2 linked regions of the Rattus norvegicus genome follow. The protein of the gene in region 2 interacts with the protein of the main gene of each other region in a pairwise test. Links are inferred from orthologs where the notes say so. Each region holds a gene or a part of one and is shown on either strand. Other genes may lie near its edges.

Region 1 (7,652 bases), on a different chromosome or scaffold from region 2:
GGAACTAGCCTCATGTGGCCTGAAATGTCTTGCTTGTAGCTTCTCTTATCAGTACAGCGTCTTGGGGGGAAATCCACACTGCCCTGGATTTTATTCCATCCATGTGGAGAGGATACCGGGTGTCAATTCGTCTGTCTGAGGGGGAGGATACTGTCTGCAGATGTGAGTGATTAAGAAAGAAGTAGTTTATTCACGCAAAGGTTCCACGTTTGGAGCTCTGGCTGCGGGGTCCTTTGATAAGTATTGAATTGTTTGTCACTGTGGCTGAAACATCTGGCCACATCAGTGTAGGAGCAAGTGACCTGGCTCGCCTCCCTTACCGGTGTGAGGGCCTGTCACTGTTTCTACAAAACTTTATGCTATTAGATTGGGTATTTAGCATCTTGTCCTCCTTCTCATCTGTAAAACCATGGGGGAACTGTATAGAAATTCTTCTCAGGGTCCTAGGAGGGAGTGAGGTAGACAAAGAGAGAGCATCTGAAAGGCTGAGTGAACAACAATTCCACGAGAGCTTCACCATCTAAACCCATGGCGGGAAGCAGGGACAGAGCACAGGACTCAGAGACAGAGAGCTCTCCATCACAGAATTTTCTCAGTAACTCCTGATCTCTTTTGAAAGTGTCCAAAGATAATAATCATAAGTTCAATTTTTTTTAGGTGTAGTCCCACTAGATTGCCCAGGCTATCCCAGATCTCCTGACCATAAAGCATCCTCCTGCTCCAGCCTCCCAAGTAGTTAAGAGTACAGATGCACAGCACTGCACCCAGCCTGTGAGCTCACGTTAGCCAAGCACCCATTGTATGCCATGGAAGGTTCTAACCAGATTACAGATCATGCTCAGTCTACAAGGCTAGCACTGTTATCAGCCCCATTCTACAGATGATGGACCTGAGGCTCAGAGAGGTGAAGACATGTACTACATAAGTAGGAAGCAAGCAACTGAGTACAGTCTGGACCCAGAAATGACACTCTCAGACATCACCCAAGTTCCCCCACAGGAGAGGCACTCATGAGCCCCAGCAAGTCCTACGTGCATGCCAACCCCACTCCTCTCTTTCAAGCCCCTAGACCCAGACAGTCACCATGGTCCTGGAGCAGCTGTGCCATCTGGTGTTGGACCAGACCACTGAGGCCATGATAGCGGCAGAGGGAGGCCACGGCAGTAGCCACGTGCTGGTTTTCTGTGTACAGGACACCAAAGCGAAGCCCAGACATCCCAAAGTCCTACAAGAAGACACATGCTAGGCCATGGCTGACCCTCACAGAAGAAACCAATTCTATTCCCACCACCCCAGGCTAGCCAGGAGCTCACCTTGCTGGTGGCCCACATCACATGTGTTCTCTGGGGGTCGGGCAGCCTACAGAGAAGAAAGCATGGAGACGTAAGCAACCTAGACCCAGCAGATCGCAGATCTGTGGATGGATGAGTAGATGGATGGATGAAACTGGGTCTCGTGTCTTTGAACCACCGATTCTCATGCTTCTCTCAGAACAGGCCAGCAGATGGCCTGCTGCCTGTGTCTGTAAATAACATTATATGAGAATACAACCAAGCTCACTGGATCTATAGACCTGACATCTGAGCTGGAATTTAGCTCAAGCACCATTTCCTCAAAAGGTTTCCCTAACCAACCCCAGGAGTCCAGGCCAAGCAGGTGCCTCAGACAGACCTTCCCACAGCTCCTTGCTACCTCTGTTTCAGCATACTTGCCACTATCATTGAAATTGCTAGCTATGTCTTTAGCTTCTGAGACCTTTGCCTATCTAGAAATATAGATAAGAGGATGGATGGATAGGTGGGCAGATGAATGGGTAGATGAAGGGATAGATGGACAAAGGGATGAGGGGACAGATGAATGGATGAGTAGATGGACGGACAGACAGAAAGACTGATGGGTAGATAAAAATGAGGCTACTCTAAATACAAATTAAACAGCCAGAGTCCAGTTTCCCATATACCAAATATGCCTTCAAAGGATGCCAAGCCTTGGAGTTCTTGGGAATGACATAGAATAATCTGAAGACAGGGTCTACCTAATTGCCCCTAGCCTGAGGACCAGTGAGATCAGACAGATATTAATAGAACTACCTTGGGGCAGCAGGCCAGGCAGGCCGTGTGTATTGACCTAGATAGAAGCTGGAGAAACTGAGACAGTTCAGGGACTGGTAGGACCAGCTACAGTGGGAGTCTCACCTTTCCAGGCTGAGGACACTGCGGTACCCAAGAGACTCTTCAAAAACAGACAGCATGTAAACCTCATCCATGATCACATGCAGCTTGTGCCTGGAGTGGGTAGGTAGTAGGAAGGAGAGAGCCAAAGATGTCACTCACTGTTGAATAGCAGTACATCAGAAATGCAGGGGACCACAGTGTAGCCCAGGGCTACCAAACCATTTGCCCAGGAATAACCACGTTGGTCTATATTTTTACAAAGGGGGACTGCACATATAAAGCAGTGGATTCTGGAGCTTTTGAAGCACTGCAATAGAGAGGAGGCACCCTTGGGGTCCTCCATGATGGGCTGGAGACAAACTCATACTCATGTCTGTTCCCACTCCTGATTGGACCACTCTGAGGCTCTGTCAAGCAGGGATGACAAGTGTTCATTTTTTATGGGGCTGCCGTGAGGAGAACCACAGAAAGTGGTCAGCTGGGAAGATCAGCTGGTCAGTAAAGCGCTGCAAATATGAAGGCCCAAGTTTGATACCCAGAGCCCTGGGGTTCACTAGTCAGATAGCTTCTCATACTTGACAAGCTCGAGACCAGTGAAACCCTTTCCCAAAAGCAAAGCATCTGAGGAATGACTGCTATCTCCCACATTTACACACATGTGGACACAGATAAACATATAAATAAATACATAAATGCATAAATAATCAAGTGTTCAGCATGGTGCCTGGTCCTAGAGCATTACAGATGGTGTTTGAGAAACATAGGGAAACACCACGGCAGGTAGTTGCCCACAGAGGTCTAAGGCCACATCAGAACTCTCTCTTCCCACTTTGTGGGGCAAGCAGAACTCACCTCATGGCAAATCCCAGGAAGTCCTGCAGCTCTTCAGGGGAGTAGATATCACCCAGAGGGTTTTGGGGGTTGATGAGGATGAGGCCTTTAACCTTGACACCCTGAAACCATCCAGGGGGTATGTCAGTACATGCCCCCCCCAACTCCAGAGCCTTACAGTCTCACTGGATGAAGCTGGTAGCTGCCCAGGGAAGCATGGCAAGAACACGATCCTGACCCAACGAGAAGCAGATGAGTAGGACGAGAATTACATCTGCCGTGCAGTCCCTACTATGGAAAGAAAGCAGGCAGGGAGCAGGGAAACGCGTCAGCTGCTGGCACAGAGGCTGCTTGTGTCAGAGGAATTGTAAGTGGGAGGTGAGAACTTTCACGGTTCCTGCACTGAGCACTTGACAGCTTGAATGGCAACAGTAAATGCAGGGAAGTGCACAGATGCTGAACATGGGCGGAAAGCAAGTGCAGGAACTCAGGTCTCTGCCTTTCTTAAGAAGCCCCTCAAAACGAGCAGGATCACCCCTCAATTTGCCAGAAAGACTCACTAAACTATAGACTCCTGTGACCCACATTTGACCCTGAAGCAGAAACAAAAGCACTAGAGTACAAGGAGTGTCCTTTTTAATTAGCATACTGTAGTAGTTTGAATTAGAATCTGCCCCCTACCCCCCCATACACAAAGGTTCACGTTTGAATACTTGGTCTTTAGTGGAACTGTTTGGGAAGGATGAGGGAGGTGTGGCCTTGTTGGAGGTAGTGTGTTACTGCAGACCAGAATGAAAAGCACTCAGCTACTTCTCCAGTGCCATGCCTCTCTCCTTCCTGCTTTATTTTATGAGTTACCCTGGTCATGGTATCTCTTCACAGCAATAGAACAGTAACTAAGGCACATACACTCATTAAAAACAATAATGGGCTTCCCTTTTGACATTTTCGTGCATATATAAAACGAATTATGATCCTATCCCACCATCATCTGCTATCCTTTTTTTCGGGTGGGGGGGATTTCTGATGAACTTCCCTGGTCCTCTATATACTGTGGTTTCAAAGTCTTTTTCTAATGAAAAAGCCCTCCATAGATACAGGATTCTGTCTGACCGCATTCCCAGGATGGCTCCATAATCCACCCCCCCAGATGTCCCTATCAATGTAACAAGCCCAGGAGATGAAAGGTCTAGCCCCTGCTGAAATCCACCCACTCCCAGTCCTGGATTTGACTGAATCTCCAACCTCAGAGTTAACTCCTTGCAGGGCCATCTCCAGCTTCTCTACGGTGAGCTGGAAGGGACGTGTATTCAGTCCAGTTACCTGGGAAAAGACCCACCAAAGTCAGAAGCCAAATTCAGTGACATGGCCCCAACCCCAAACTTGAACTCTTGGGACTCTCTTTCCCTATCGTCCCCAGCCTCTTGGGTACAGCCTCTGAAAAACAGGAAGGACTGCTTCCCCTTCCTGCCTTCCACCCCATCTTATCTCTTAGATTTCTGGCAGAGGCAGCAAGGCTTCTCTGACTGGTTCTCAGGACTCCCAAGGCCTAAGCTTGCCCCTTTCCACCCTCTCATTTATGAGGCTAGTCCTTGGCTTCTCCATGGATCCAGGATCTTAGAATCTGTGGCTTGGAGCTTCCAAGGAACCCAGGCAGAGACATCCATGTGACAACAGAAGGCTCCACTCCCATTTTATAGCAGCTCCAAAGCCCCTAACACAGGCTCCCTTCACATCCACCCACAGCCTCAGAACCAGGAAAACGCAGATGCAAGAACTGGGCTGCAGGCATCTTACCTTGCTGTCCAGGTAGACATAGGCTAGTCGGATGTTGCCATAGAGATAGATGTGCTGGGTGATGGCTCCGTAGTAAGGGGTGGGGATCAAGAGGACTTCTAGGAGCAGGAGTAGAGCCCATTAGCCTCTGACCTGGATACTTCAGACCCTGTCATGTGTGCCACTGTCCTTCCTAGCCTCCACCATCTCTGGGAAACATTTGGGGCAAATCCTTGCTCTCAACTCCCAAAACCTTAAAGCTTGGATCCCCCAAGATCAGGTTTCTTCTGATATAGATGCTCCTTCACTTATGATGAGTTCACATCCAGATTAATCCACTATAAGGGAAAAATATATAGAAATGTATTTGACCCGCCTAATCTCCTGAATATCCTAGCAACGTATAACAGGGCAGAGTATTGGTGTTGACTCAAAAATCTCATGACTGCCTGCAGGTAGAGTCGGGGAGCTCATTGCCCCTGCACAGCATTGTGAGAAAATACCCCACCACACGGCACTAGCCAGAGAACCTGCCATAGTTCAAACTTCCTAAGACCAGGCATGTAGCCTAGTAGGTAGAGGGCTTGCATTGCACACACAAAGCCCTGGGCTCCACCCCCAGCACCTCACCCAGACAACTGTGGTCACAGCCCAGCACAGCCCTGGACAAAAGCTGAGGGAGTAGGACATGGAGTCCACTTACCTCCTGGCTCGCACAGCACTGTGGCCAGAGCAGAAAAGAGAGAGGCACAGCCATTCAGAACAACCACCTGGGAGTGATGGGAGACAAGAATGCCTCTGTCAGGTGACAGAGAAGAAAGGCCATGGAAAGTGCCCTGGAGGTCCATCCTGACAGAGGTCTCCATTGGCTCCCAGCCAAGCTGATTTCAGGGTACCTTGCTCTTGATCAAGTGAATGAGAGATGGAACTGATCACTCTGAGGATCTCTCCCAAAGGTGGGAAAGTCAAGAGGACCAAAGTACAATGGGGTTGGGAGGCAAACTAAGTGAGAGGCAGACCCAAAGCGCCCTCCCTGACAACCTCCACTCCTAGGGAAGGCGTAACTCACATTTTCTGGTTTGAGGGGTGCCGGGCTCTTACAATAGAAAGACAAGAACCTTGCCACTTCTTTCCGGAGGCTAGAAGAACAGACCAACAAAATATGACACTTGTCAGAGCATACTCAGCCTAGTATACTCCAGAGCCCCTCTGGGAACCGGCAGGTGGCTGGCGGCCACTGCCCCATCCTCCCTTCCCAAGGTGGCAGACATTTATCTCCATTCCAGCATACCCTCCCTCATCCAGCCACAAAGCATTCTGGGTCTAGGACACCCACCCCCACCTAATCAGGAGACTCCAGGGGAAGAAACAAACACCACATACATCTAGCTGATAATGATAACAGTAAACACTATTATAACAGGGACTGTTAACCATGGCTCTTGCTGAGCTCCAACATCACACAAACATTATTCAGAGACTGTTTCATGGTGGCTGTCATTACTATCATTCCCATTTTACAAATAAAGAAACCGAGAGAATTTGAAGGAATTGTCTCCCTTGCTAGTAAGTGGCAGAGGCCTTACTCATGCCCAGTGGCCTGCCCCAGAGCTCACCATCTGGACCATGGATCCCTTAGAATAGTGTCTGACCCTCAGTAAATTATCAGTGCACAGCACAGTCAGGACCATCCCCTGGCCCATCAAACCATTGAGAGTGGGCCCCAGTCAGCCCCCTTGTCATCTCTAAAGCTTCTAGAAAACCAAGGACAGTCTCCTCACTTGTCACAGACTTAGGGTCATGGGAACCAGCTGGGAGCTCTGGGGATGGAGCTGAGGCTGACAGGCCAGCCCATGGTCACCAGGTCTCCATAACTATGTTCTCAGCCTATGGCCAGCTTCTCCACTCAGTCTCTCCTGATGTTGTAGACAGAACAACACTTTGTTGAGGTGCTCCCCTGTTGAGGTACGTTACAGGGTGAAGAGCACACCACTGGCCAGTTGACCCTTCTTCCTGTTACACCAACCAGAAATGTGTCTCAGCTCTACTCTACCTCCCTGGAGGCCAACACGTCCCATGTTGGGACCCACTGGCCTGGGGTGACTACTTACAACCGATGCCCTCTCCAGTCAGGGTACTGCAGCAGAGATGGCTCCACATGAAGCATGTCATTCTGTGTCAGCTGGGGACACACAGGAGAGAGAGCAAGGTTGACGGCCAACACTGTCGCCTACATCCACACAGCACCTTGGCCTATCTAGGGTTTCTCCTGCTTCTCAGAGAAACTGTGCAAAGAGTACAAGGCAGCATCCCCAGGCCCATTTCACAGATAAGCAAGGCAAGGCTCACAAAGTGAAGGCAGGGCCCCCGGGCTAGCAAGCGGCAGCACTGAAATGATATCCAGAACTTTTGACTCAAGCTCTCTATACAACAAAAATGAGAGGGGTGGGTGCAGAAGTAGCGGTGGGAAGTCGTGACGCTCAGCCTTCCCAGAGGTCGGAGGAGGTTCCAGGGTTGTCCTTGGATCCAACTATAGTAGGGACTCAAGGCACTGTCTTCTGCAGGCTCAACTCAATCTCACCCTTTGCATACAGTGGTCCATCCCTTGTAGACCATCCCTTGTATAACCAGGTACTGAATTAGTAGCAGTAGAGCATCATGGCTACAAGGTCAAAGACAGACAATAACATAGGGTTCTTGGACAGGGGCCCAGAAGAATTGGAATCATGTACTTCTCCATGCCTGGGCCCAGCCATTCCCCTCCCTTCTGTCACTCCTTAGAGCTGGTCCCACATGGAAGCCACTGGTATTCTGTAGCAACTGAGCATTTACTAGGTGGCTAATCTGAACTGTAAAGACTTCCTAAAAACA
Region 2 (8,421 bases):
TTTTTTTTTTAAGATTTATTTATTTTCATATAGGTAAGTACACTACTGCTGTCTTCAGAACACCAGAAGAGGGCATCAGATCCCATTACAGATGGTTGTGAGCCACCATGTGGTTGCTGGGAATTGAACTCAGAACCTCTGGAAGATCAGTCAGTGCTCTTAACCGCTAAGCCATCTCTCCAGCCCCCAGCGCCCCCCCCCCCACAAGCTCTATCTTAACTCATCATCTAACCTGTAGGAAGGCTTCCCAGAGGCCCTATGAAAAGACAAAAGGATTACTAGTTCTGTGTCCTTGCCTAGGTGCGGACTTGACAAGATCCGGTCAGAGGCTGGTGCCAGGGCCTTGAAGGATTAAGGATTCAGTTTGTGGGAACTTGACTTTTCTCTCCTGAAGGGACCCGAGTAATCAGTCCCAGGGCTCTCCTGTGCTTGGTCTATGATACACCTGAGATAGCCTGTGCTCCTCTTGTGCGGCACTGCTTGATTAGCTTCCTGACCATTGTATGGTCGCTTTCTGCTGAATCTGTAACATTTTCCACCTGCAAACTGTATACAAGATTGTTCTCCTCCTCCTCTTCCTCCTCTTCTTCCTCTTCCTCCTCCTCCCCTCCTCCCCCTCCTCCTCTTCTTCCTCTTCCTCCTCTTCCTCCTCCCCCTCTTCCTCCTCTTCCTCTTCTTCCTCCTCCTCTTCCTCCTCCTCTTCCTCCTCCTCTTCCTCTTCCTCTTCTTCCTCCTCCTCCTCTTCCTCCTCCTCCCCCTCTTCTTCTAAGACAGGTGTATTGGCTAGTTTTGTGTATCAACTTGACATAAGCTAGAGTCATCAGAGAGGAAGGAACCTCAGATGAGTAATTGCTCCATAAGATCCAGCTGTAAAGCATTTTCTCAGTTAGTGACTGACAGGGGAGGGCCCTCCCTGGGCTGCTGGTCCCGGATTCTATAAGAAAGCAGGCTGAGCAAACCGTGGGAAGCAAGTCAGTAAGCAGCACCTCTCCGTGGCTTCTGCATCAGCTCCTGCCTCGAGGTTCCTGCCCTGTTTGAGTTCCTGTCTTGACTTCCTTTAGTACGAACAGCAATATGGGTGTGTAAGCCAACGAAAGTCCCTTTTGTCCTCAACTGTGCTTTTTGGTCATGGTGGTTCATCACAGCAATGGAAACCCTAACCAAGACAACAGATATCTCTGTGTAGCCCTGGATATCCTGGATAGCTTTGTAGACCGGACTGGCCTTGAATTCACAGAGATCCTCCTGCCTCTGCCTCCTCAGTGCTGGGATTAAAGGCAAGCTCCACCAGGACAGACAGCTCACTGAGTTTTTTTTTTTCTTGTTTTTTTTTTTAACATTTCTGTAGTCTATGATGGTAAAAATACAACAAACTGTGGTTTTGGTTATAAACCAGTTTTTTTAGTGGTTGTAAATTGCTAGATTCTAGTGCAGTTTGGTTTAACCATTTGACTTAGGGTTAACTTCATTAAAAGCTTCAGTTTTGCAATAGATGGCAGTCAATACAATTGATCCATGAACAGAGAGTAAGACACTATGAAAATGCAGTCCTAAATGAAGCATTACACACACACCAAGGCCTCAGGGATCTTTGTCAAAAGTCAGGACTGCCGCACACAGGAACTCACAGTGGCTGACTGACTGATCTTTGAAGATCAAGCGAGCCAAGCAAGCCTTCAACATGGTTACGTCCTTAGATAACCGCGAGCTGAGAAGTTATTGTCAATTGATGGCTGATGCGAGAGTGAGTGTTAGTTTAATTCAAGCACAGCTCCTACACACACACACACACACACACACACACACACACACACAGAATTCTTCCCCTGATAGACAGTCCCTGCTCCAGAGTACCCGTGCACATACTTGGGTACTAAGTTGTTTTCTATAAGAACACAAGAAGTTGGGAGGGAAAAAGCTATGGGGAGATTTGGAGCAGCTTCAGTGGAGGGTGGATTTGATCTAAACATCGGCACGTAATAAAACTCAAAGTTAAAAAATTAAATTTGGGGGCTGGAGAGATGGCTCAGTGGTTAAGACCACTGACTGCAGCACTGACTGCTCTTCCAGAGGTCCTGAGTTCAATTCCCAGCACCCACATGTTAGCTCACAACCATCTGTGATGAGATCCGATACACTTTTCTGGTGTGTCTGAAGACAGTTGCTGTGTGCTCATATAAATAAAATTAAATTTAAAAAAATGTGCTTTGTTTAAAAAAATAAAATTTGTAGGGATTTGGAGCATCTGTGTTGGCAGAGTCACCACCATGCCTCTAGCTAAAGTTCTTTTTTTTTTTTCAGGGACTGGGGACGGAACCTAGGACCTTGCGCTTCCTAGGTAAGCGCTCTACCACTTAGCCAAATCCCCAACCCCGCTAAAGTTCTTTTTATTCCTTTGGACTGCACCTAAGAAAGTGTGTTAAGTGTGATTCTAGGACACTATTATGTAGCCGGCCTCAAATTTGTGCTACAGCCAGTTTTGACCTAGGAAATTTACAGTCCAGGTCCAGCCTAGGTTAGAAACGCTATGATTCTGGACGTGGCACGCCCACTGTGTGCCTTTGTTGATGGTTTTGGGTTTTCTGATAGAGCAGCTTTGACCTTATTATTGGTTACCAATTAGCACTTAGTTTGGCCCTTAGTCGGGAGATGATTTTCCTCCCGAGCTTCACGGGAGTGACGTTAAGATAGCTCCTAGCGACTCGCGGAGCATCCAACTGACGCCTTGCCCCCGCTGCGGGGAACGCTGGGAAATGTAGTCCTTCCCGGCACCTCCTGTGGTTCGGCCCACTACTGAACGGGCGGCAGACTACAGTTCCTAGAATCCTCCACTCCACCTTCTATTTGAGGCCGGAGGCGGCGTGGTGGGAATGTCGCCGGTGCAGAGGTGGTAGGCCTGGCGGATCCGAGCGGACTGAGTGGAGTCGGAACCCGGGGCTCTGGTTGGGCTGGGTTTCCGTGGCTCTGTTTCTGAAAGGACGGCTCTTAACAGGGCCCCAAAGGACTAGGGAGAAGCACGGCTGTATCTGAGTTCCGATGGGATGGGCGCGCGCGGGATGGAACAGTGAGGGGGCACCATGCCTGGCCTGGCGCGGCACTCCCGGAACCGCTGTGGCTGAGGGGCGGGTTCGCGAATTTTAAAATGCCTTCATGCAGTTGGTTGAATATGTGAAGACGTTATTCTGGGATACTTTGGCCTTTACAAGCCGCCCCTAGGAAATGTCCCTCCAGGTCTGGGAAGCTGCGACGGAATACATAGGAGATAGCACAAGTTATTTGGTGTGATGTGAGCCAAAACGCGTTTGGACTTGTAGGTCGCTAAAGTTGCCATTGCACAGGAGAAACACAAGCATTCCCCTGTGTCCACAACCCCAGTACACTTTGCATTTTAGTAAGAGGCTAGGCACACCAAGAAGACAGATGAGCGCCGCAGCCGCCTTTCTTCCTAGGCATGTGAAGGTGGGTTTGGGTGAAGTGAAAGAAGCAAAAAGGAGGTAGGGAATGCTGGGAAAATCTGTTCCCAATATGAAATGTTTACCATCGGTGAGGGAAGAAACCAGAACTCACTGTCAGGCTTTGTATTGGATACTGCGTACAGAGAGATTCCTGGCAAGGGATTTGGGCCAGGATGTGTTTTCCCTTTCCATTTGGCTTTTCACCACTTCCAGGGCTACTTTTAAAACACTCTCCGGGGTTGGGGATTTAGCTCAGTGGTAGAGCGCTTGCCTAGCAAGCGCAAGGCCCTGGGTTCGGTCCCCAGCTCCGAAAAAAAGAAAAAAAAAAAAAAAAAAAAAAAAAAAAACCACTCTCCAAGCCAAGGAAAGGCCAATACCTACCCCCTCCCCCAATCACCCTAGCCCAAGAACTTACTATAGTGGTTAAAGCTGGTCCCTAACTCATAGCAATCCTGCTTCAGCCTCCAAGTGCTGGGATTGAGAGTAGGAAGCACTATGCCTAGGTTTTTTGGGTTTTTTTGGTTTTTTTTTGTTTTGGTTCTTTTTTTTCCGGAGCTGGGGACCGAACCCAGGGCCTTGCGCTTCCTAGGCAAGTGCTCTACCACTGAGCCAAATCCCCAACCCCTATGCCTAGCTTTTTCTTTTTCCTTTTTTTTTTTTCCTTATTCTTTTTTTTTTTCCCGGAGCTGGGGACCGAACCCAGGGCCTTGCGCTTGCTAGGGAAGCGCTCTACCACTGAGCTAAATCCCCAACCCCTTCTTCTTCATTTTTTAAATTTTATGTGTGTGGGTGTTTTGTCAGTGTGTCTGTACACCACATTCATGAAGTGTTCTGGGCAGTCAAAAAGTGCATCTGTCCCTAATGGGAGTGACAAGAGATTGTAAACCCACGTGGGTGCCAGGAATCCAGTCCAGCTCCTCTGGAGGAGCAACCCGTGCTCATCTCTGTCTTGATTTTGTTTTGTTTTGTTTGACAGGATTTCTCTGTGTAATCCTGGCTTTCCTAGAACTCACTCTGTAGACCAGGCTGGGCCCAAACTTAGAAATCCTCCTGTCTCTACCTCCTGAGTGCTACCACCTCCAGGCCACTTTTTTTTTTTTATTACATACCTCAGGTTGTCTAGAACTTGTGACCTTTCTGCCTCTCAGCCTCCCAAGTTCTAGGGTTGACACCAGGTATGTATTATCATACCCACCTCAGGAATTTTTTTTTTAACTTCACTTATTCATTTGGGGTAGTGGGGCACCCATGCACATGGAGGTAAAAGGAAAACTTGCAGGAGTCAATTTTCTACCCCCCTCCATCTTGTGTGCCCTAGGGTATCCAACTCAGACAAGTTGGGTGGTGCCAAAAGCACCCTTACTCGCTGAATGGCACTCAGTTCATAAATTCTGGGCTTATAGAAATAGGTTTGACCAATTCCTGACTGTACTGAGGATGGCCTCAAACTCAAGAGATCTGTCTGTACCACCTGAGGGTGGTGATTAAAGGCATGTGCCACCCCTCCCTCACTGGGCTTTGAGCTCTTTAAGTGAAGGACCCTTGGAGCTAAGCGCTAGTAAGTGCAGCATTTATGTATTAGTGTATTTGCTTGTTTGTTTTTGAGATTTATGGAGCCCAGGCTGGCCTTGAATTTGGTTTGTAGCTGAGGCTAGCCTTGAGCTGCTGAATTTTTTTTAAAACCTCTTCCCAAATCTGTTATTTCAGGGCTATGCCACCATGTCCAGCTAAACTACATATTCTTGCAAAAAAAGGTTTTATTTTTAATTATATGAAAGTATGTGTGCGTGTGGGTGCAGATGCCTTTGGATGCCTGAGGCCTAGAGTTCCGGGGGGCCTGTGAGCTATCCAGCGCAAGTGCTGGGAACCCAACTGAGGTCCTCTGCAAAACCAGTTTGTGCTCTTGGCTCCTAAGCTGTCTCTCCAGCTTCAGCTTTTTTTTTTTTTTTTTTGGTTCTTTTTTTCGGAGCTGGGGACCGAACCCAGGGCCTTGTGCTTCCTAGGTAAGCGCTCTACCACTGAGCTAAATCCTCAGCCCCCCAGCTTCAGCTTTTAAGCAGTTCCTTTGATTTTCTCTATTAGGGAAGATGACCTTGCTGGGCAAGAGTGCACATGACTGGACAGTGAGGAGCTGCAGAAAGCCCCAAAGCCAGGATGGTAGGCAGAGTATAGCCCAAGGCTCGGGAAAATAGGCACACCCCACCCCACCCTCAACATCTTGACTGCATAGAATAGAAGTTTTGTGGCAAGGACCAGGAGATGGTCCCATGGAAGGGCAGCATTAGAAAAACTTATGCATTGAGCTGGGCCTTAAATTCCAGAACATGGAGGTAGAGGCAGAGGCAGGCTGCTCTCTTGTGATTCCAGGGCAGCATACACAGGGAGACCCCTCCCAGCCTCCCCCAGCCTCCACAAAACAAACCTTTAAGCAATGAGCAGCGTTTCCCTTGAGCCTCTATTTTTGTTGTTTTGGTGAGGCATGGTCTCCCTGTCACTCTGTCTGGCCTGGAATTGCTATGTAGAAGACCAGGCTGGCTTGGCACTCATAGAGATCCACCTGCCTCTGAGTTCTACGTGCTAGTGTTGAAGGTGAGGGCCATGGTGGCCTATATCCTGAACCTCCGAGTCCTCTGAATTTCCTGCCAGAAACACGTTTTTCACTAATTTATTCACTTTCTATCCCAATCTCAGGCCCCCTCCTGGTACCCTCCCTCACACAGCTCCTCCTCCTTGTTCTCTGAGAAGGGGGAGCTCCTGCACAGGTATTACCCCATTCTGTCACATCAAGCTACTGTAGGACTAGGCCAGTCCTCTCCCACTGAGGCCAGAAGGGCAGCTCAGTTAGGGGAACAGGATCCACAGGCGGGCAACAGATTTAGGGACAGCCCCCCACCAGTTGTTGGGGGACACTGGAAGTGTCTTTAGACCCTTCAGACACAGAAGAGAACCTTCCGGTTACTGCCTCTGGGAGGGTTTTACGTGCGGTATCTGTAACTCAGAGAAGTGTCTGTCCACAGCCTGGCTCTGCTCTGAGTAAATTCATTCTCAGGAGCTACAGGAAAACAGAACTGACTTCATCTGCAAATGCTCCTTCCTCCAGGGCCTAGAGAAAGGCAAAGCACATTTCTTGCCCAGTTCTACCACATGCTCGTGGCTGGATTTTGTTAATGTGATTTTCTCCCCATTTTAGGCACTGAAAGCCAAGAAAGGATTGAAAGGTAAGAGGAATATCACCTGTAATCCAAGTATTCCTCCTCTTCTTCTTCCTCCTCTTCTTTCTCCTTCCTTCTCCTTTTTCCTTCTTCCTTCCTTTTTCTCTTCTTTTGTCCTAGAACTCACTATGCAAAGCAGACCAGTCTTAAACTCAGAGAGATCTGCCTGCCTATGCCATGTGCTGCATTAAGGCATGTGTCACCTCCACCTGGCTGAGATCCTTTTTAATAAATGAATAAATAAAAATAAAAAAATAAATAAATAAATAAATAAAACAAAACAAGCTGGTGAGTGAGAAGCAGCAGGTAGAGGTATCTGAGGCCTGGGAGGAGAGAGCTGACTCCAGGTTAAGGTGTCTCATGTCTGATACCCTGAACCCCTTGGACCTAAGTGGTGGAAGGAAGGAGAGAAGCGACTCCTGCAGATTGTCTGCTGCCCTCCACAGGAGTGTCAGGACACGCATTTCTGCTCCAATTTAAAGAAAAAAAAAAAAAAAAAAAAAAAGAAGGAAGCTGGGTGTTGGTCACCCCTGGAGTCCAGGACTCAGGTGCAGGCAGGCTAGTCTCTCAGGGTCAGCAAGTCTGCTCTACACAGGTCCAGGACAGCCAGGGCTGTGCAGAGAGACCCTCTCCAAAGAGCTGGAAAAGAAGACGGCTGAGTCTGATGAAGCAAGACTCTGCCGATACACTCCTCCTAGACAAAGGGGTGGAGAGAGCAGCCCTTACTGAGAAAGCCGCAGGGCTGACTGCTGCCCAGCATTTAAAATCAAGTGAATAAATGAGGTTTTAGAAAAGAGGTTTCTCATTGAGCTCTGAATTCAGGGACGTGCTGTTTGAAGTTAAGGGAGGTCAAGGCAAGTAAAGCTGTCTGGGAGAATCATTTCAAACATGCTTGCCCACTGTGTCTCCGTCAGAAAGTAACTGGAAGGGTGCAGTCCGTCCAGCTCTAGGGTACAGGGGTACGTGAGAGAGCCTGCATGTGCGTAGATGCCATCTCGGAGAGCCGTGCTGGCCTCTTGGAGGCTGGAAGACTGAGTGCTGGCTTTTGTGTTTTGGGTCAGGTGGGTAAAAGGATATCTCACTGGAAACCATCGTCATTCTTTGGGGAAATTACTTTAAACTAGCCGAGGGGTCAACAAGGCATCATCGATTGCCACTGTTAGAAATCATCTGTTGGCCAGGGAAGGTCGATGTCAGCCTGAGGTCTGGGATCTGGGAACTCTGGGACACGAGTCTCAGGCCTTCAGGTTTACAAGCACCACTCTCTTGGTTCCTGAAGCCCTGATGGCCCGTTTGTTTTCAGGATCCATTGATGACGTCCTTGGTGACCTCCTGGGAGATGACAGTAAGTGCCCCTTACTTTCTTTCTGGGCAGGAGAGGGGAGGCTGGTAAGAGGTTCAGCCAGTGACGGTGTAAGCCTGACTGGTTGAGTTGCCTTAGGACCCAGGTCGGGGACGGAGAGGACCAGTTCTCACAAATTGCCAGAGTGCTTGCTGGACCATGTGGTGACCCTGTTTTAATTTTCGAAAACTGTCAAATGGTTTCCCACGGCAGCCATTCCACTGTGCCTCCCACAGCGATGCTGGAAGCTCCTGCTCTCTTCCTGCCCACCAGCGCTTACTCCTTCTTTGTTTTATTGTTTGATTGATCGATTGATTTGTGGTTTCTTGTTTATTTGTTTGTTGAGCTGGGGATCAACCCCAGGGCCTGATTTCATGTTAGGTAGCCAGTGTAGCTCTGAGCAGTGTTTGTA

What was found. The genes of interacting proteins can lie anywhere in the genome.
Region 1: the proteins of Fbf1 (region 2) and Accs interact in a two-hybrid assay, tested with the Homo sapiens proteins (2 studies listed by BioGRID and IntAct). The two-hybrid records come from large-scale screens. The link is inferred for Rattus norvegicus from reciprocal best matches to the Homo sapiens genes FBF1 and ACCS.

The regions. Positions count from the first base shown.
Region 1 is NC_086021.1:100,263,551-100,271,202, forward strand, and holds part of Accs (1-aminocyclopropane-1-carboxylate synthase-like protein 1), read right to left. Parts: intron 6,964-7,652; coding exon 6,893-6,963; intron 5,921-6,892; coding exon 5,851-5,920; intron 5,552-5,850; coding exon 5,485-5,551; intron 5,104-5,484; exon of another isoform or gene 5,035-5,103; intron 4,901-5,034; coding exon 4,803-4,900; intron 4,329-4,802; coding exon 4,251-4,328; intron 3,128-4,250; coding exon 3,027-3,127; intron 2,286-3,026; coding exon 2,196-2,285; intron 1,360-2,195; coding exon 1,314-1,359; intron 1,226-1,313; coding exon 1,084-1,225; intron 1-1,083. UniProt on the Homo sapiens protein: Does not catalyze the synthesis of 1-aminocyclopropane-1-carboxylate but is capable of catalyzing the deamination of L-vinylglycine.
Region 2 is NC_086028.1:101,894,849-101,903,269, reverse strand, and holds the start of Fbf1 (fas-binding factor 1), read left to right. Parts: upstream 1-2,789; 5' UTR 2,790-3,420; coding exon 3,421-3,459; exon of another isoform or gene 3,460-5,458; intron 5,459-5,537; exon of another isoform or gene 5,538-5,609; coding exon of another isoform or gene 5,610-5,612; intron 5,613-6,645; coding exon 6,646-6,673; intron 6,674-7,305; exon of another isoform or gene 7,306-7,429; intron 7,430-7,970; coding exon 7,971-8,012; intron 8,013-8,421. UniProt on the Homo sapiens protein: Keratin-binding protein required for epithelial cell polarization. Involved in apical junction complex (AJC) assembly via its interaction with PARD3. Required for ciliogenesis.